2 linked regions of the Oryctolagus cuniculus genome follow. The protein of the gene in region 1 purifies or fractionates together with the protein of each later gene. This does not show direct contact. Links are inferred from orthologs where the notes say so. Each region holds a gene or a part of one and is shown on either strand. Other genes may lie near its edges.

What was found.
Region 2: the proteins of MED21 (region 1) and POLR2M purify together in Homo sapiens (affinity purification with mass spectrometry; 3 studies listed by BioGRID and IntAct, with this or other methods). This does not show direct contact. The link is inferred for Oryctolagus cuniculus from reciprocal best matches to the Homo sapiens genes MED21 and POLR2M.

Annotation. Positions count from the first base shown.
Region 1 is NC_091440.1:124,254,360-124,265,029, forward strand, and holds MED21 (mediator of RNA polymerase II transcription subunit 21), read left to right. Parts: upstream 1-1,542; 5' UTR 1,543-1,743; coding exon 1,744-1,785; intron 1,786-4,160; coding exon 4,161-4,275; intron 4,276-5,132; coding exon 5,133-5,233; intron 5,234-6,229; coding exon 6,230-6,406; 3' UTR 6,407-7,065; downstream 7,066-10,670. UniProt on the Homo sapiens protein: Component of the Mediator complex, a coactivator involved in the regulated transcription of nearly all RNA polymerase II-dependent genes.
Region 2 is NC_091443.1:80,573,384-80,584,530, forward strand, and holds the end of POLR2M (protein GRINL1A), read left to right. Parts: coding exon 1-48; intron 49-1,977; coding exon 1,978-2,637; intron 2,638-5,524; coding exon 5,525-5,729; intron 5,730-8,442; coding exon 8,443-8,586; 3' UTR 8,587-9,619; downstream 9,620-11,147.

The DNA.
Region 1 (10,670 bases):
ATTGGTTACAAACACTGGCTCTGAAAAGAGGCTGTGGCCAGAGTGGTGGCACAGCGGATTGTGGCACCTGCACCACCAGCAACACCAACATCCCACATGACCAATGGTTGGAGTCCCGCTGATCCACTTCTGACAAAGCTCTCTGCTAATGGCCTGGGAAAAGCAGCGGAAGATGGCCCAAGTGCTTGGACCCCTGCACCCACGTGGGAGACCTAGATGGGTTCTAGTCTTTACTTCTGCTTTTATCAAGGTCAACACTCTAGTTCAGGCCCTATTCATCTCACATTTGGGCAAGTGTAGAACTCCTAGCAAGTCCCTGACCTTTTGCCCCTTGCAAACGCAGCTTCCATGGCACGGTGCAACATTCGGTACGGTATACTCTCAACTGGTACAAGAAAGCTACAGACTGCTCCAAACTACAGTTAAAGCAAATGAGAGTCACTTGGCATTGGTACCATGATATGGGAAGTGTCTCACCTGTGTGGTTCCCCCAGCAGGTCAGGTCTATTGACGCAGAGGTGGGGCTTCCCAGAAAGGGCCGGGCTCAGTCCTGCAAGCTGAGTTCCCCAAGGACTGTCTCCCCCACTGCCATGCTTTGAATGTGTCTGCCGCATTCATGCATCTAAGGAATGCACCAGAAGGAGCTGTCACACCAAGTCATATATCTGCAGCAGACAAGGAGACCACAAGGAGTCATTTCCAAAGCCGTGACTCTGTGAGCAGGGGAGAGGGAAAGATGAGCAGGTAAGAGGGAGGTTCTGATCACACCTGGGGGTGGGTACAGGTCCATGAAGGTACAGTTTGGAAGAATGCTCCAACACTGGCTGCACCATACGGCAGCACAGCTCACACTCCCCCTGGGGTGGAGCTCTTAGTGTTAACATGAAGCAAAAGGTGAGGTGTGGATACTCTGTGACCCGCCTGCGCCGGCCTTGCTCCTGCAGTAGGGTCCCGAGCAGTCCAGGATAGCTAGGGAACTGCATCTCTCTCTGGCATGTGACAGCAAACCTGAACTACATCAGGTGCCTTTGAGATGTGCAAGTAGAGATGAGTCAGTTGACAGTTTCTGAGCTGTGCAGGGCAGTGATAGGGAAAGGTGACTCGGCCCTTCTGAGTGGATTAATCCACTGGATTACTGGGGTAGCCCTGGGCAGGCGGTGGGTGTGTGGCATGGTGGCTAAGGCACTGCTTGGGACAGCTGCATCACAGGGCTTGAGTTCGAATCCCAGCTCTGCTCCTGATTTTAGCTTCTGCTAGTGAGCACCAGATAGGCAGCAGGTTATAGCTGGAGTGGTTCCCAGGTGGGAGACCTGCACTGAGTTCCAGGCTCTGGCTTTGGCCAGGCTCAGCCCCTAGTTGCTGCAGGCACTTGGAAAATCAATCAGCAGATAGAACTTAATCTGCCTCTCTAATAAAATGACAATATATAAATAAATTTTTAAATACATGGGAAAGTAGGACAAACCACTAAATAATCCCACAGAATTCAACGATCTCGGTAAACAGCTGACCACCTCACAACCTGAAAGGGAGCCCAGTCGCGCAAAGGATGCCGGGCCCCAGCCGCTGCAGGTCCAGGTAGCTCACCCGGCGTTCTCCCCGGCACCCGCCCCTCCTCGCGGGGCGTGTCCTCCATGACCCCACCCCTTCCGGAGAGCCGCACTCTGATTGGCCGTGACCCGTACGAAAGCTGGCCAATCGCGTAGGAGCAGCTGCTGCAGCGTCTCTGCGTGCGGGAGGAACATGGCGGACCGCCTCACACAGCTGCAAGACGCCGTGAACTCGGTAGGCGCTTTAATTCGCTTACTTGCGGTCTGCCTCATTCCTGAGGTAAAACGGGGGAGGAGAAGAGGCCCGAGACGCAGCCTTCGGCGGTGGCGAGCAGATGGAGGCGGTGCCTCTGCGAATTCGGGGCGTTCGAGGCCGGCCGCGGGGGCCGCGGAGGGAGCAGCCCCTTTGCCCGGCGGCGGCCTCACGGGGCTCGCCGGACACTGGTGCTGGGGGCGGGAGGAGAAGAAAGCAGACGCGGTTCTCTGCGTATACCTCGGCCCCGGGGCCCTGGAGACTGCGTCTCGGTGCGACGCCTTAGCCGGGCTCCGGTACTTCGAGGGGCGGGAGCAGGAGCGGTGGCGCCTGGAGAAGTTGTGTTCGCTCCCTCAGGCGGGGATGGCGAGAGCTGACGTCTGGAAGCTTGTGAACCTTGTGTCGGGCGTTGAGGTCCCTGGGTTTGAGAAGCGGCTCCCCTGGCGTTGTCCCTGGCGATGCTTTGCACCTGAGAGTGCGTGCGAGCCCTAGGCCCTGGGCTTGGAGCGGCCGCTGGCTGCCCTGCCTGCTGGGGCTGCTGTCCCCGGGCGGGTGCCTGGGCGGGCACTGTGATTGTTCACCCCCCAGCCCTTGAAGCTGACGAGCCGAGCGCTTGCAGAGCGCCAGCGTGCTGTGAACAGCGCGGGAGCTTGCGAGGCTGAGCGGGCAGCCACCGAGTGTGGGTGACATCCTGCCAGGCCCTCGGGGAGCTTCTACACATGCTGGTGCTGGATGGAAGCCTTCCTTCGTGGCCTGGCCCCTGGAGGCGAGGCAGGGCGGAGGGAGTGTGGCCTCTCCCCCAGGGGGAGGCCTGCTGGTAGCTGGGGTCTCCAGAGAAGCCTTCAGGGTACGCCATGAGCGCCTGCTGTGTCGGAGCCCAATCGTAGTTCCAAAGGGACAGCCTGAAGGGCATAAGGATGATGTCACATACTCAGGGGACGTTTAAATGATGTAAAAACACTATGGGGTTAGGGAGTTAGAATGAATGCGGTGTTTTCAGCTGTCAGTGCTGAGTAAATTGGAATATGGAGCCATGCGCCCTGAAATACTGAATTATCGTAATCGTAATTATTCATGTCGTGTTCACCATATTTGTGTTACGGCTGTTAGGTTTATGTTCGTTTCTTGCCGTGGAGTTTTTTTCAATCACTGTTTGTTGAATGAACGTCTAAATGGATCTTGAAAGCTTGTGAGGGACAGTACAGATAGCCACTGTGTTGAAGGGTTTTTTGTGCGTTTCCGCTGTTTGTCCGGTTAATCAAACCAGGATTAGAATCTAGGTTTATATAGCTTCCAAGCTCTTCCCCCTCCATTGCAAATAGCAAACCAGCAAACTGATAACTAGCGAGTAACTGTGAGGGAGTAAAATGTGAAAAATGTTTAGGAAGAGCTGGCTGAGATTATTATTGAAAAGTTGGAAACCGCTTGCTGACCGCAGTGGAGTGAGCCGGCGGTTTTTGTGCAGGGGGGAATACGATGGGTAACCAGAGAACAGTGAGGGCGCGATTGCAGTAATTCTGGCAGGAGGTAAGTGATGGAACAGAAGGGGGAGAATGAACCATCCGCGGGATAGGAAGCTGGAAGGCATGAGGCTCTGGAATGAGACTGGTTGGCTAGGACGCTCTCAAGACCAGTTAGATACTTATCCGGGGAGCAGGTGACTTCGAGTCCGGCCATTGCAGTCATGGCGGAGAAGGGCGGTGGAAATGCTTCCTCACTGATGGGAAATAGGACTTGAGGTCTGAGAGGTCAGGCCTAGTGAGAGGATTGGTGGGGAGCTGTGGTCCCTGGTTGAAGATGGTAAGGCACTGGTTTCTCAGTCTTGAGAGCTGCTGAAGGAATACTTTAACAACGCGAGCCTTAGCACTGCATTAGAAAAGGCACCTTATTTCCCCTATTTCTTTGCCTTGTGAACACTGAGATCTCAGAAAAGGAATTGTATATGAGTAACACTTTTTTAAATTAAATCTGGGGCCATACGTGGAAAGTCTCGTTGCCTGTAATATTGGCACAAAATTGTCTTTATCATTCTGTTAGCTTCAGAAGACAAGAAAGATGATACAAGTTTGCATGGGCTGCAAAATTTTTTTGCATAAAAATATATTGATCTTTTAATTCCATTTTTACTGTCTCATCTAGATTGATATCAACACCACCTAGGTTGATACTAAGTTTATTTGCATGGTTGAAATATCTAATCATTGTTAACACACTGGCTTGTTTTATCCGAAATTACTCCTTTCTGATTCACTCCCCTGCTCAGAGAGCATTGTTTTGGGAAACTTGTTGCCATTACCAGCAAAAGCTTTAGACTTGATAAACTTTGTATAATCCTGACCTGTTTTCTCTGGCCCAAGCTTGCAGATCAGTTCTGTAACGCCATTGGAGTGCTGCAGCAGGGTGGGCCTCCTGCCTCTTTTAACAACATTCAGACAGCCATTAACAAAGACCAGCCTGCTAATCCCACCGAAGGTAAACAGCTTTTCTTGGCTTCCCTTTATTTGATTCTCGGACTTCGTGTAATCCTTTAAATTAGATTTATTTAGAAATTCACTCTGTTGCTTCTTTATACAGATGTTACTGAGGTACTACTGGACGTTTTGTATGTCATACCAGAAATTATTTATTGTAGTTAACTTGCATAATACCATAATTCTTCTTGTGTCATACCAGATTGGTGCCCTTGGAGAGAATTAGGAATTTGGCTGAACTTTACTGACGGACCCTGATAATTAGGGCATCCCATGTACAGATTCATTGATTCTAGTGTCTTCCATATTATCCTAATACATGAAGTGAACATGCCTTAGGCTTAATTCTCTGAGCCTGTATTAAGTTAAATATGTAACAGAACTGGTGCCTTGAAATTGATTTTTTTCTTTTAAATATTTCTATTTGAAAGGCAGAGTGATAGAGAGTGAGGGAGAGACAGAGAGCATGAGAGATACCTTCCATCTACTGGTTCATTCCCCACAGGGACATAAAGGCCGGGACTGAGCCAGGAACTCCATCCAGGTCTCACACATGGGTGGTAGGGGTCCAAGTACTTGGGCCATCTTCTGCTGCTATCCCAGGGACATTAGCAGCGAGCAGGATCAGAAGCAGAGGAGCCAGGACTTGAACCAGCACTGGGACATGGGTTGCCAGCATTACGATTAGTGGCTCAACCCAGTGCATCACTACACTGACTCATTAAAATAACACTTTGATCATTGGAATTCTAATATTAAAAAGTTAGGTGAAGTTTCCTGGTTTCATTAACTTGAATCTAATTTTCTGTTTGTGTAAACCCGAGATTTTCTCATACTAATTGAGTAGTCTTTCTGCAGAGTATGCCCAGCTTTTTGCAGCACTTATTGCACGAACAGCAAAAGATATTGATGTTTTGATAGATTCTTTACCCAGTGAAGAATCCACAGCTGCGTTACAGGTAACAACCTTTTTTCTTAGAGAATTTTACTGGTAGCAGAGAATTTTGAATTGAAGGAGATAGATTTATTGACTTTCATTGTAATATTCAGAACTATTTTATGATTATTTTTAAGGATTTACTCTTGGATTTACTTGAAAGACAAAGTCAGAGAGGGAGCCGGAGACAGAGATACCTTCCATTCACTGGTTCACTCCCCAAATGGCCACCACAGTCTGGCCTGGGTCAGGCTGAAGCCAAGAGCCTGGAATTCCATCTGGGTCTCCCATGTGGGTGACAGGAGCCCAAGCAGTCATGTGGGATGCTGGCATTGCAGGAGGTGGCTTAACCAACTGCATCTCACAACACTGTCCCCATACTTTCCATACTCTAGTTCACTTCCGAAATGATCACAGCTGGACCAGGCTGGAGCCAGGAGCTTCTTCCGGGTCTCCCATGTAGGTGCAAGGGTCCAAGGACTTGGGCCATCCTTTGCTGCCTTCCTAGGCACATTAGCAGGGAGCTGGATCTGAAGTAGAGCAGCCAGAACTTGAACAGGCGCCCTTATGGGATGCTGGTGTGGCAGATGATGGTTTACCGTGCTGCGCCATGATGTCAGCCTCTAAGATGGGCGTTTCACTAATTCAGTGCTAGTATTGTCTGTTGAAGATTGTGCTGAATAGCTGTACAGTAGTTGTCCAATTTTGAGTTAGAAGGAAACCTTGTATGTTCTGGTTTATCTTTTTCTAGCAAAGAAGGAAAGGATGGTGGCTTTCTGAACGAGGAATAAAATAATGGATAGCAAAGGCAGTTTGGAACAGAGTCATACTAGATAGTAAGATCTCTTGAAAATCCATTACTTTATAATCATATGGAGGAACTTAAGTTACCTCACTTTGAGAATTTCTCCTATTAAAACTGTATCACTGGTTGCAAAATCACCGAGATTTAAAAATAAATACCTCTACTGCAGTCTCTTCTCCACTCTAAAAGATTGTCAAATTTATGTCTTAAAAGGCTGCTAGCTTATATAAGCTAGAAGAGGAGAACCACGAAGCTGCCACCTGTCTGGAGGATGTTGTGTACCGAGGGGACATGCTTCTGGAAAAGATCCAAAGTGCACTCGCTGACATTGCACAGTCCCAGCTGAAGACGAGGAGCGGCACCCACAGCCAGACCCTGCCGGACTCATAGCACCGGCACGTGCCGGCGGCTAAGAACTGTCTCAAGGCCATTAAGAATTCTACCTTGGATTAAATGTCAGCCTTACCAGCAGTTACAGAAACGTTAAACGTTATGACATGTTTTACCTTTGTAGCTGTTTTTAAAATCTTCTATTTTTACTCTTGATAAACAAGCATATAAAGTTGTGATTGAACCAGCTTTAAACTATCAGTTTTTTTTTAATCTGAGATTACTAAGGCAGATACTGCATTTGTGATCAAAATACAAATAAACATGCACTGTTCTTTGGTGACAAAGTTTGTATGTTGTTTAAAACTCAAATTTCTGTAATAGTCCTGGGGCCAGCACTGTGGGTGGCAGGAAAAGCCACCGCTTGCAGTGCTGGCATCCCATATGGGCACTGTTAAGAATCTGGGATGCTCCTCTTCCGATCCAGCTCTCTGCAATGGCCTAGGAAAGCAGTGGAAGATGGCCCAAGTCCTTGGGCCCCTGCATCTGCATAGGAGACCCAGAAGGAGCTCCTGGCACCAAGCTTTGGATCCACCCAGCTCTGGCCATTGCAACCATTTGGGGAGTGAACCAGTGGATGGAATACCTCTCTCTGTCTCTCCTTTCTCTCTGCCTCTCTGTAACTCTTTCAAATAAATAATCTTAAAAAAAAAAAAAAATCGGTAGTCCTTTCATAAATGAAAACAACCCTGAAGCCAGAAGAGACATTCTCAGTGCAGAGATGGATCTTTCAGTGGGCTGGTATCTTTGCCACTATGGAGGTGGCATTGTATAAATTTGGAGCTTTGAGAAAGGAAGTTTCTGAAAATTTGTCAGTTCTCAGAAACCCAAAGTGTTAGTGTGGCCGGGTGAGAGTAGGTCACACTGAGGCAAACCTTTGCTCTTGCAGAACCTCATGTCCCTTTGAATTCACCTCCACGTTTGCTTTGACTGAGAAAGCCTTGACTCAATGAAATTCCCAGGCTGCTGTGAGTTTTCTTCATCCTGATTGGCTTGTTCTCTTTATCTACAGGCCTGTATTCTGCTCTCATTACCCCCCCCCCCCCCCCCGCTGTATTTTAAGAGGGCCATCCTCCCATAGCAGTTATTTCAGAGTTGTTTTCTCCATCGCTCCTCAGTGTGTCAGCATGTCAGCTACAGTGACTGATGCAGCTCTGGGGTCTCCTGCAGTCCACGGCTTCTGCCCAGAAATCTGAAGTTGAAATATCTTCCACACTGTCCTGCCTCTGTCTCAGAATCTCTAGGACTTCACTTGAATCCGTTGCTATCCAGAGCTGGCTCTGCCAGAGAACCCTCAAGATGGTAGTCTGCTGCAGCAGGCTTCCCCACAGCTCTTGAGAAACAAGGCATTTCAAATGCCGAGAACACCCACTTTAGCAGCAGAAGTGGCGGCAGTTTATTGCTTAGGCATAGACGGTCTGGACTTTGAATCTTTGCAGGGTGTTACGATGGAAGCTTACTAGAAATACTTAGTGGGGTGGATGTTGTGGTGCGATAGATTATACCACCCACTGGGATACACGGACTTTGTATTGGAGTGCCTGGGATGGGGTCCTGCCTCTGCTTCCAGTCTAGATCTTGGCTAACAGGCTTAGCCAAATACTTGGGTTCCTGCTACCTTTGTGGGAGACCTGGTTCCTGGCCTGGCCCTGGCTGTTGAAGGAATCTGGGGAGTGAACCAGAGGATGGAAGATCTCCCTCTCTGTGTCACTGTACCTTTCAAATAAATTCCTAGGGGAAAAAAAAAACCACTTTACTCTGCCAGGCATTTAACATTTCAAAGTAGCTATTATAAACATTCTCTAGTGAACACTCTTCAAAGAAGTAAAAAGACAAAGTCTTAACTGAGAAATAAAAGATACAAAGAGGAAAATGGAAATTTTAGAATAAAAATACACAGTAACAAACTCACTGGTTAGTTCAATAGAATGAAGATATACGTATAGGGGTGGGGTGCGGGACAATGCTGTGGTGCAGTGTCGCTCCCCGTCTTCGTGGAGGAACGACACAGGACCCTGCGCTGTTCTTTCGTCTGCTCAGCCCTCCCCGGGTTTGCTGCTGGTTCTTCCCGGGTTGGCTACTGTCCCTTCCACCTCCGTGGAAGGGCAGTTCCCCCTAGCCACATTCCCCACTTCTGCAGGGGAGCGGCACACCGCCGGCCGGCTCTCTGGGGGCTGCACAGGTGTTCCCCTTAGATGTTCCCCATAGATGTTTCCGGTGCATGCCATCTCTCTCCTCCTTTATAGTCCTCCTCCGCCAATCCTAACTCAGCTGCCCACACGCCGAGTACGCTGCTCTCCAATCAGGAGCAAGTCCTACAGTTTATTGGTTGAACTGGAGGCAGCTGCGTAGAAGCTGTTTTCTCCTCTCCCAGCGCCATATTGTGGGAGAGCAGATGCATAGAATAAGTCTTAATTCCAGTAACAGTATAGTCCGAGCTGCTCCCCACAGTGCAGCAGATTAAGCCGCCACCAGCAACACCAGCGTCCCATATGGACACCATTTAGAGTCCCCACTGCTCTGCTTCCAATACAGCTCCCTGCTAATGTGCTTGGGAAAAGCATAGGAGGATGGCCTGAGTAATTGGGCAACTGCACCCACATGGGAGACCTGGATAAAGCTCCTGGCTTCTACTTTGTCCTGGCCCAGTCCTGTCTTGTGGACATTTAGGGAGTAAAACAGCCGATGGAAGATGTCTGCCTATCCTCTCTCTCAAACAGATAAAACTTAAAATGATGTAAAGGTGACATCAGTGAACTGGAGGACAGATTGAGAAACTACCAACCTAAATAAGAGAAAATAAATTGAAAAAAAAAATTGAGCAAAGCCTCAGGTACCTATGGGACAATAAGAAAATACAAATATCTAATATTCACACGAGGAGAGAGAGTGTAGAGCTAAATAATCATAAAAAAAAAAAATAACCTGAGTGAAAGCACAGCCTATATATGCAAGAAATTCAGCAAGACCCCAAGCCAAAAACAAATGTGGGCCGGCGCCCTGGGTTCTAGTCCTGGTTGGGGCGCCGGATTCTGTCTTGGTTGCTTCTCTTCCAGTCCACCTCTCTGCTATGGCCGGGGAGTACAGTGAAGGATGGCCCAAGTCCTTGGGCCCTGCACCCGCATGGGAGACCAGGAGGAAGCACCTGGCTCCTGGCTTCAGATCAGTGCAGTGCACCGGCCATAGCGGCCACTTGGGGGATGAACCAATGGAAAAGGAAGACCTTTCTCTCTGTCTCTCTCTCACTGTCTAATTCTGCCTGTCAAAAAAAATAAAAATAAAAATGCGAAGAAGTGTACACTCAGGTGAATCATAATCAAATATCTGAAAAGTAAAGTCGTTGAAAGCGACCACAATGAAGTGACATGTTGTCTGTAAGGGAACAAAGGTTCCAAAATAACAGTATATTTCTCTGCAGAAACCAGAAAGTTCAGAATGAAGTAGCACATTTTTAAAAGGTTTTATTTATTTGACAGGCAGAGTAATGGTGTGGGAGGGAGAAAACATGAACAAGCAAGAACAGTCTACGTGTTCACTAAGTGCCCACAACAGCTGGGGCTGGGCTAAGCCTATGCTAGAACTGAGGGACTCCAACTGGGTCTCCCATTGTGGGTGGCAGGAATCAAAAAACTTGGGCCATCATCTGCTCCCAGGCACATTAGCAGGAAGCTAGATTGGAAATGGGGGCAGGATCTAATCCCAGGCACTCTGATATGGGATGCAGGCATTGCAAGTGGCATGTTGTGCCAAAACACCTGCATATTTTTTTTTAAAGATTTGTTTATTTCTTTGAAAGGCAGAGTTATAGAGACGGAGAGCAAGAGCAATGTCTTCCATACACTGGTTCACTCTCCAAATGGCCACAATGGCTGGAGCTGGGTCAGTCGGAAACCAGGAGCTAGGAACTTAGTCCAGGTCTGCCATATGGATAGCGGGGACCCAAGCACTCAAGCCATCACTGATTGCTTTCCACAGTGCACATAACCAGGAAGCTGGAATTGGAAACGGAGCCAGGACTTGAGCCCAAGCATCCTGATATCCCAAGTGGTGATTTAACAGCTAAACACCTGCCCCAAGATTATCTACATGCAGAAGCATTTTATTAAATGCTCTAGGCAAAAAAGAGACAAAATGTTTTGATGTATAAAGAGTATTTGCAAAACTATGACAAACATTCTGAAAGATCAAATGCGTTCCTTTTAAACTTGAAAACAAAGGTAGTTGCTATATCCCCATGTACTACAGGTAAGCATGAAAAAGAAAT
Region 2 (11,147 bases), on another chromosome or scaffold:
GGAGCTGCGGGAGATGTTGAAGCGCCAGGAGAGACTTTTGCGCAACGAGTAAGCTGGGGTCCCTCCGAGGCACAGCCCGACTCCTAGGGTTGGGGCTCCCGGGGACGCCCCCTGCCTTCCACCGCCCCGCTCCCTCCACTGGAAGGTGACCTTGCCTCAGTGCGATTCGTTTCGGTCCCGCGGCCTGCAGCCGCAAAGCCACGCCACGTTCCGGCCGCTGCTGCTGCAGCTCGTGGGGGTGGCTCGTGTCCCCAGCGGCTGCTTAGCGTGGAGCTAAGCTGGTCCGCCAGCCCCTCGTTGGTTTTGTTTACTCAGTTCCCATGTCGGCTTTGAAGGGAAAGCTTGTGTCCCAGATAACCCTGTTCTCCCGCCCCGGGCCTGGCGCCGAAAATCTGTTGCCAGTTTTCTCTCTCGATCCTTTCCTTACGGGAACCGGTGAGGAATGAGAAGAGTGAGATGTAAAGAACGGTTTCTCAGGCCGAGAACTTGACTCCCATTCAGCTGGCAGACGACCCGGATGGTTAGCAGGGGCGCGAAATGACAAAAGGGGTGTTTGAAGGGCAGTTTCGTGTTCAGCAGCTCGGAGCAGGATGGCTTGACGGACTAAGAGGCGGAAGACCCCAGGAGGATACTTTTAGAGAGGTTTCCTGCAAGGAGGTCGCAGGAAAGTGAACTGGGACGGCGGCCGGCCGTGGGATTGGCAAAACTTTGTCAGGCAGGGATTAAGATGGCTGAAGTTTCCCATGTGTGAGGAGAGCCACCAAGAGAAATAGAAAAAGTGAGGGGAGGGAGTAGAGGCAAGGTTGATTTGTACTTCGAGTGCATGGAGTTGAGAGGAGAGCAGGAGAGAGGGAAGGGGAGGTGGAGGGGGTTGGGGAAATTGGGGAATCTTGAATGCACTGAGTTGTTCATAGGTAGTTGAAACTGAAAGCATGAATGTAATGTCAGAGGAAAAAAAACTACTAGAGGGTCTCAGATGTAACCTCGCCCCTTATGTATTGTATGGCCGAAGAAAAGGAAATTAGAAAAGAAACTTATGTCACTTCCAAAAAAGCAGTCACTTGAGGGTCTTTGTAGTAGACAGGTGTTGCTGTGACATTGTGAGAATGGCAGTGAATTAACATTTGGGTGTGAAGATCTCCTTATACTCTTATTTAAGAGCTGGGCATGCCAAAGAGCTCTTGTTTTTCGTGAACACATGAGCACACATTCCACTTCAGAGCCAGGATGGTGTCACACATCATGTGGCTTCTGGAAAAGTTCACCCTACCCCTGTGAGAACTTGAGAGGGAGGTGGTAAATAACGCTTTAGTAGTGTTGTTGGAATAATTCTGACTCTGCAGGCCCATTCCCCCAGCAGGTTTTGGAGATTACATTTTAAAAACTATGAATTTGGGGGATATCTTGTATGATAATCACACAGGTTAAGTCTCCCCTATCTGAAATGCTTAAGACCAGAAATGTCTCAGATTTTGTTTTTTTTTTTTTTTTAAATTGTCTTTAATATTTGTATATTCATAATGGGATATTTAGGGATGAGACCCAAGTCTAAACACAGTTCATTTATGTTGCATATGCTCATAGCTTGACTTTTAGACAGGTTTTTATTGTACCTGCATTTTGACTACAATTGTCACATAAGGTCAGGCATGGATTTTCCACTTAGAACATCATGTTAGTGCTAAAAAAATTTTCAGATTAGAAGTGTTCAGCCTGTATTCTTCAAGTCCTTTTGCCAAGATTCTAAATAGAAGAGACAGATGAGGCCTATATTCTCTGTTCTTCTATCCACTTGTTTTCTAAATGTATTTGGAAAATTGTTGTATTGTTTCATTCCTGTTTGGGAGCTGGTAAAAATCAGACATTAACTTAAAAATCAGTTTGCTCCCTTGGAGGATGGTGCTTTGTCTGTTAAGTGTTACGCCTCAAGTTTAAAGCCATGGCCCTAATGTATACCTGTTCTTTTCCATTTGACAGAAAATTCATTTGCAAATTGCCCGACAAAGGTAAAAAGGTCATAGACACCGTTGCCAAACTGAAAGCTGCCATTGCAGGACGTGAAGAGGTTAGAGGGAAAAGTGAACTCTTTCATCCTGTTAGTTTAGACTGTACGCTAAGGCAAAAAGCAGATGCAGTTGATGTGGACATACATAAGGCCCAGAATTCTGACCAGATACTTGCTACGTCATCACTAGTTCCTGGCTGTTCCTCTGTAGATAACGTCAAGTCATCTCAGACAACCTCACATAAACAGGGACTTGTACATCCTCCTCACAAAGGTGAGGAAGAGACTCCAGAGGCTGAGGACCCAGCGAACAAGTGCCCAGCTTCCAGCAACAGCAGTGCCAGCGTGCTTTCCTCGGCTGAAGCCAGAGAGCATCTCCCTCAGCATAGTGTTTCAAGTCAAGTGGAGGACGTTTCCAGCAGCCTTGACAACCTGTTTATTGATAAGTTGCAAAGGATCACAATTGCAGACCAGAGTGAACATCCCTCAGAAGGATACACGAGGACTGAGAACTTGACTGAGAACGTGACGGGCTTTGGGAGCGGGACTCAGAAGAAGCCTCATTACATGGAAGTGCTAGAAATGCGAGCCAAAAACCCACTGCCCTTACCACATAAATTTAAAACCAATGTGTAAGTATCGTTGGAAACATACTAGCACAGGAACCTAATATTTGTTCTACCCCCAAACTTGGGAGGCTGCCATAAGCACATTTGGCTTCCTTTGAGTGCTGCTTGTGGTTAGAGATGGGGCATATTATGGAAGCAGTGAGACTAGCCTCACTGGAAAGAGGATTCTTGTTGAAAAATACTTTTGTTTTTAAAGCCAAATAATTGAACAGATTTTATGTTGGTGGGGGAGTATTAAATTTCAGGATACTTAGCCAGTATTTCATAATAAACAGAGCTAAGGAGAGAATTTATTGATTTTTTTTATTAGAACCAGTTTCTGGTTACTGCTCCCCCTTTGATTAGTCTGTAAGGGCAAAGCAATGCAGGAAGTGATGGACTCTCAGCAAAATTGTACTTGTACTTGTGTGTTCATGCTATATGTAGGCCTCTGGTGCTGTGAGGACACAGTGAAATAGTTTCTGTTACTCAGTCTAGGATGCTGATGAGGAATCAAGGTTTACATACCTGGTGAAAAAAAATCAAAGTATATAATAATAGTTTCAGTGGGAAGGGAGAAGAGAGGAGGATAATAAACTGTGAAAACAGATTCAGGCAGCATGGGCAAAAACCTTGCTTCTGAGTTTCTTGCCATTGTTTGGTTTTTGAGATCTCCAGGAAAAAAACCTCTTTAAGAGAAAATAGTAGGTAATTACTTGTAGCAGGTGTAACGTCCAAATCGGCAAGTAGTGGCTGGTTCATGCCTGTTTCCAAAGATGGAACATCAGATCCAAACTCAAACTATCACTATACTACTTTGAAAAACAAAATCTTTAGCTAAAAATATCAAAAAGGTGGTTTTTTTGTGATTTTATTATTATAAAGGGACTTGAATGAACTTTCAGCTTTATCCTACCTCACTCTTTATTTGTTTTTAACATCAAATCATCTTATTTCTGGTGTGTAAGAAACTAAAACTTTAAATTTTAGTAATAAAAAGTAATCTGTGAGTAATCTCTCATCTTGTATGCAGTGAGGTATCTTTCTTCATTTCTATAAGGACATTTTAGAAAATCTAGTCAATAAATAAAAGATATAATGATCCTGATTATGTATTATGATCTTGTTGGGAGCAAGAGAGAGATAAGGAAATAATAATGAGGGCCTCTGAAGGTTAAGGAATTTAAAGAGAAGGAATTTTCTGTGCAGTTAGAAGAGATCAGGAAAAGCTAGGCCTTGATGAGTCAGTAGGCCATAAATAGGCAGGGAATGGGTGGCTTCCATGTGTGAGCAGTGCCTGGGAGTTTGGACAGTGGATGAGGTTGTGTCCTTTGGCACCTTCTCCGCTTTCCTTTGGCTTCAGAGACAATTTGAATGCCAAAAGCTGCCTTTTATCTACTTTTAGTCTAAGTCTTGCTAAAACTTTAGATTTGTGTGGCATGTTATCTATAAAACATGACCACTTGGGTGTCTGTGACAATTCAGGTTTTTCATGTACAAAGTGAAACTCCTATTTATATCTAAACTGACTTTCCTCCCATAATCTCTAGGTTATAGTGCTGCCATATCTCTCTGCCCCATCCCCTCTACTACCTCCCAGGTGTCTTTTCTTTATATTTGCTAGCTGTGAAGATCCACATAATTTATTTCCTTAATCTTCCATCTCTATAAATGTTCTTATCTTCATCCCCTCCTGTCACAGTGAAGGTTTGCATCTCTTTTGAGCTATAGTTGTGGACTGTTCTTGCCTAGAGTCTTAACTCCCAGTTGTGCTTCTCCACTCCTGCCAGAATCAAACTTGTAATATGCAAATCTCTACCAGTTATATAGACTGTAACTCTTCCTTGTGATCTGGGCCCAGCCTACTTCCCAGCCTTCTCTTGCCTTTTCTGGCTTTTCCATCCTCTTACTTCTGTATGCTGCAGCCATGTTGCCCCTCACTCCTGGTGCTCGAGTGCTCTTCTCCCCCTGTTACATGGTGAGCACTTATTATTCCAAGGCTGTTCAAATTTCACTTTTTTGAAACTGGCAAACTCCTTGTCCCTTGCTAGAACTGGCCGCAACTGTGATAGGATCTGTGGTATTATATTTCACTGAAACTGTTTACATGTTTATTTTCCTCTTATGGACAGTAAGCCCTATAGCCAATGTTCTTTGAATGAATAAGTGAAAAACATAGCTTGGATTTGATGTAAGATTTTTTTTTTTTTTTTTTTTGACAGAGTGGACAGTGAGAGAGAGAGAGAGACAGAGAGAAAGGTCTTCCTTTGCCGTTGGTTCACCCTCCAGTGGCCGCTGCGGCCGGCACACTGCACTGATCCGAAGGCAGGAGCCAGGTACTTCTCCTGGTCTCCCATGGGGTGCAGGGCCCAAGTATTTGGGCCATCCTCCACTGCACTCCCTGGCCACAGCAGAGAGCTGGCCTGGAAGAGGGGCAACCGGGACAGAATCCGGTGCCCCGACCGGGACTAGAACCCGGTGTGCCAGCACCGCAAGGCAGAGGATTAGCCTAGTGAGCCGCGGTGCCGGCTTGATGTAAGATTTAAAGAGGGAAGGAAGAGGAAAGAGCTTGTGTGTGCTGTATGTATATACTCCTTGACCTATGATGGGGTATGTCTTGGTAGCGCATCATAAATTAGAAATACTACACCTAACCTACAGAATACCGTGGCTTAGTCTAGCCTACCTGCAGTGCTCAGAACACTTATATTCACATACCGTCGGGAGAAGTCATCAACATGTGCCTGTTTTATAATATAGTGACTACCTCATGTAATTTATTGAATGCCATACTGAGAATGAAAAACCAAATGATCGTATGGATGTACTTTACCATTGTTAAGTTAGGAGCTCACTTGCTCTATTAATGGGAAAATACCTGATTGTATAAGGTAAGTTTTCCCTCCTTTAGGTTACCTTCGCGACAGAGTGATTCGTCTAGTCACCGACAGCGGGGAGAGTCTCCTGTTGCCTCAGAAGAGCGGCGACGCAGGGACAAGCAGCATCTTGATGACATCACAGCAGCTCGGCTTCTCCCACTTCACCATCTGCCTACACAGCTGCTCTCTATAGAGGAATCTTTGGCACTTCAGAAACAGCAGAAACAGAATTATGAGGTATTTAGATTACTAATTTTTTTTCTTGTCTGTATGTTGATAGGTCAGAATTTATTGCAGGTAGTCAAGAAGGAAAGAATGCAGTAGAAGGGGTTAGGTGCTAGAGAAATGGTCAGCCATCCCATTGGCCATCAGTCATGTGCCTTTAGTTTACAAAGAGTCACAAAGTTGCTAAGACTTCTGGGAAACAGCTGGAGGTGATTAAGTCTCCCTCAGTATTACAAAGTGGTGATTTGCCAGGAAACATGGGGAGACTACTGCACAATTTTACATCTTAAAGCCCATTGCTGTACCACTTCTGTTAGGATAGGATAGCATTGTTCCTTTGTCTTTCACCTTCTAAATTAGATTCATTGGTAGAATCTAACCCAGAATCAGGGAACTGTAGCTCCCTGGCTTCCGTCTGTACAGTACCAGGGGAGTGCCGAGGAGCAGTGGAGGATAGCAGGTTGCCAACAGATGGTGGGACACACTGCTTACAGCATCATCCGCTTTTAGTGACTTAGTGTTAGGTAGTACTTTGTCCACTGCTCCATGTGTTTGACATAGAACTTTAAGTGGATGTTGAGAATATATGTATAGATTAATGGGATGGGAGAAAATGTGTGTAGACTATAGAGGGAATAGAAAATATTGATATACTTAGTGATAATTTGAGCTTCCAGGGAAAGTATCTTGTCTTACTTCCTAGATATTGCTTAGCTACATCCCCATCAGGTGCTGTGCACTAACTAATAGAAAACTAGGCTCTACTCTCCCTTCACTTTTCCTTTTTTTCTTTTTTTTAAAGATTTATTTTATTTATTTGAAAGAGTTACAGAGAGAGAGGTTTTCCATCTGCTGGTTCACTCCCCAGATGGCCACAACGGCCAGAGCTGAGCCGATCTGAAGCCAGGAGCCAGGAGCTTCTTCAGGGTGTCCCACACAGGTGCAGGGGCCCAAGGTTTTGTCCCATCTTCTGCTTTCCCAGGCCATAGCAGAGAGCTGGATAGGAAGCAGAGCAGCCGGGACTAGAACCGGTGCCCATATGGGATGTAACATTGCAGGCGGCAGCTTAACCTGCTATGCCACAGCGCCGGCCCCTGTCTTCACTTTTCTTAAAAATTCAGTTGTCCTGGATTGGTATTTTTGAAGCATTCTTTTTTTTTTCTTCCCCCTCAGATTTATTCATTTATTTGAAAGGCAGAGAGAGAGAGAGATCTTTGATCTGCTGGTTCACTTCCCAAATGGCCACAACGGTCAGAGCTGAACTGATCAGGAGCCAGGAATTTCTTCCGGGTCTCTCATGTGGGTGCAGGAGCCCAAGTACTTGGGCCATCTTTTACTCCTTTCCCAGGCACATTAGCAGGGGCTGGATTGGAAGTGGAGCAGTCAAGATTTGAACCAGTGCCCATATGGGATGCCAGCACTGCAGATGGCAGCTTTACCTGCAGTGCCACAGCGCCAGCTCCAGCACTCCTTTTTAGTAGTCACTTGTTTTCCCTTTTGGTGCATTAGAAGTGTCACCTACTTAGGACTGCAACATCAAGGAAATGTTTTTAAATTGTCTGTGGAATCATAAATGCCATCCTAAGATGTTTTTAGGTTAAATTAAACCCTGCAGCTTGAAATTAGCTTCCTTGCAAGAGACATTGTAGTTGCTCCCACTATACTTACTCTTAATATTCCTGGCCTGAGGGGAAGACAATAAAGAAGTTGAAGTGATAAAGGAAGAAGGAAGCATGAGAAAAGGGAGGAGCAAAGCCAGGAATGAGCATTGCCACCTGCCAGCAGTTGGTGGTGAAGCCCTTGCGTGTGTGCAGTAAGCACATCACCAGTGTCTAAAATTTATTTGGGCTTTTGTTGGATACTTGTTTCTGTAGGACTTTTTTTTTTTTTTTTTTAAAGATTTTATTTATTTATTTGAGAGGTAGAATTACAGACAGTGATAGGAAGAGACAGAAAGAAGGGTCTTCCACCTGCTGGTTCACTCCCCAAATGGCTGCAATGGCCAGAGCTGCTCCGATCAGAAGCCAGGAGCCAGGAGCTTCTTCAGGGTCTCCCACAGGGTACCGGGGCCCAAGAACCTGGGCCATCATCTTTCCCAGGCCATAGCAGAGAGCTGGATTGGAAGAGGAGCAGCCGGAACTAGAACCAGTGCCCATGTGGGATGCTGGTGCTGCAGGTGGAGGATTAACGTATTGCGCCATGGCGCTGGCCCCTCTGTAGGACTTTTCTTGGATAGAGGTAGTCATTTTTCAAGCATTAATTTCTTGATTTTCATTGTGCTATTGAAGTATAACTCTCAGGCCTAGAAGCTAAGATTTAATCTAGGGAGGAAGGCTCTGTCAGGGAATTCAGTACAGCATTGGAGATTTTTGACATTAGATAAGTCTCATTGTTTTGTATGTATACATGCATGTGCCCACAGACTTAATGTACCCATATTTGTAACTGTTGTAAAGTTAATTTGTAAAGAGGTAGGATATTTCAGTGCATTGTTGTTCGGTAGTGGACATCGGTTACGACAGCCAGCAGGCTGATAGGTCTCAGAAGCATTGCCCTTTGTATCTGTGGTGGGGTGCAGCCATCGGGCTCCTGCCATTGCTGCAGAGACCTCCAAGTGGGGTGTTACCGCCTCTTTTTTTCTGAGTCTGTTTGAAGAACTTACCATTGAAAAATTGTAAGGAAAAGTGTGAATGTGTAACTTTTTCCTTTCCCCTTTGTTTTAAAGGAGATGCAAGCAAAGCTCGCAGCACAAAAATTAGCTGAAAAACTGAATATTAAAATGCAGAGTTACAATCCAGAAGGGGAGTCTTCCAGGCAATACCGGGAAGTAAGGGATGAAGATGATCAGTCCTCCGATGATGAATGCTGAAGATGGGCATTGGGATCATCTCCTAAACCTCAGGCTGTTGAAATGTCATTATCTCACATCCTACTTTGTAAGCATCAAGATCAGTGTCAGACCTTGTTGAGGGAAAGAATTTTGTGAAGTTACACAACGGCAACTGTGAACAAAAGCCCAGTTTGTCTTTCAGATGACTTTCATGTGCTTGAAGTTTAATATTTGAAAACAGTATGTAACCACATTGTATTAAAGTTTTGCAGTATGTTGTGCATTGGTCTGATATTTGAGTGTATGATAAAACACATTTTTTTTCCTTTAAGCCAAATGAAAGATAATTTTATTTTTTAATAACTCAATCAAATAGGATTTATTACATGTCTTTCAGTGAAACACTTAGTTGTCCCAGGCAGCTAAAGTAAATTAGGAAGACATAGTTCCCTGCTTTTTTAAATAATGAAAGGATGAAGTCTGGAGAATTATGCATGTTTGCATGGAATTACTGAGATACTGGGTTTGAAATACCTAGGAAGATACTCAGAAAATTCTTAACAAATGTTTGTTTCCTTCCGTCTCACCTTAGGAAGAATGTTACCTTTCCTCTGATCAGGAATAAGTACTTTGAGTACATGCTGGAAGGTGGACGGTCTTTATAGGTGACCAGGTTTGCCTGGAGTACTATGAGATACAGGAAAAGTCCAAGCCGACTGTGCTTGCTGGGAGCAATAGCTCTTTTGTGTTTCACCTGATTGGAGTTCATTGCTCTCACTCATGATGGGTTCATTGTGTAGGACACTAATGTTTGGTAAGGAAACCAATAATTGTTTTTTAAAAGTTACAATTGTCAGTGTATTTTTTTTCTTCAAAGAGACATACATAGGCTGTAGAAACCTCAGTCTTATACACACACACACACACACACACACACACGTGTTCATGTCCTTTTAAGTGATTTTATGGTTGTCTCCAGAGATTAATACTTATGTTACAAAAAAAATTGTCTAAAATGTTGAAGCTTTTAAAAAATGTTGAAAGGAAAAATAAAATATTAGAGCAACTTAAACACTCATGGTTGTATTTTACTGGTATTTAGTTAAATTTAACTTCCTACTACAAAAGAGTGTTCATGTATGAGATTTGACTGAAAATATGTTTGATAGGAAGGGCTCAGTTCTATTTCGTACGCTTCCAGTTGTGGTAACTGCTCTCTGTCTCCCCTCTCCTCCTGGAAAAGCAGATGAAAAAAATGTACTGAGCTAACAGTCATAACTGTTTTTAATTTTTGTAAGTAATAACATGCTTTCACATAAAATTTGACATTCCATGTCAGTAGAATGAAATACACCTGTTATTTCTGGAAAATTTGGTGGTTTGCAAGGGCTCACGTGCAGGTACTTACAGTGTCCTGTAATCCTAACACCCAGACACAATCTGAACATTTCACTGTTTGATTTTGTACTTTTCTATGTATAGCCATACACATACTTTTTTAGATTTTATTTATTTATTTTTTTATTTATTTGACAGAGTTACAGACAATGAGAGAGACAGAGAGAAAGGTCTTCCTTCTGTTGGTTCACTCCACAAATGGCCACTATGGCCAGCCCACTGCGCCGATCCGAAGCCAGAAGCCAGGTGCTTCCCCTGGTCTCCCATGTGGGTGCAGGGCCATCCTCCACTGCACTCTCGGGCCACAGCAGAGATCTGGACTGGAAGAGGAGCAACCGGGACTAGAACCTGGCGCCCACATGGGATGCCAGTGCCACAGGCGGAGGATTTAGCTAAATGAGCCACGGCGCCGGCCCCAACCATACACGTGTTTTTTAAAAACGCGTCATCCTGTACACTGTTTCATAATCTGTGCTCTATGCATTGTATACATTTTCCCATATTAGATATTTTGCATTTTAGGTAGCTGCAAATTGTTCCATAAAATGGGATGCCATAACTTTTATAATCATTTTCCTCTTTACAACTTGATTGTTTTATGTAATCTATAAACAGTGATATAAAACAGCATCTATAATCGCATCTGTTCAAAATAACACTTCCAGAAGGTACATTTCTAGAGGTAAAATTGCTAGGTGAAGGTATATGTGTTTTTTTCGATATTCAAGAGTACTTCAAAAAGCTCATGGGAAATGCATATTTGTAAAAACTGCATGGATTTCAAAATTTTTTACACGAAAATAAACGTATCTTTTAATTCCACTTTTCCTTGAACTTTTTGAAATATTCTGGCAGGTCATTCCAGAGGTTGTGTCCATTTAGATTCCCACTAGCGTTATCTTAAACTCTGAGAATTAAAAATTACTAAAAATATTTGCAGATTAAATAATTACAGAAGGGGGCTACATTTAAAATTTGTGATTACTTAGGGAAAGCTGAATGTTTTTTCATGTGACCATTTATATTCATTTTTTTGAAAATTGCTCTTAACATTTTTTCCTGTTCTCACCTTTTTTCTTGGTTTATAAGTTCTTTATGGCAAAATTTTTTATATTACTTGCTTTTCAGTGAAACTTGTGCTGTTTCTATATTGAAGTTTTTGTTTTTAGGCGTCTACCTCTGTGTGTGTACTTGAACATACT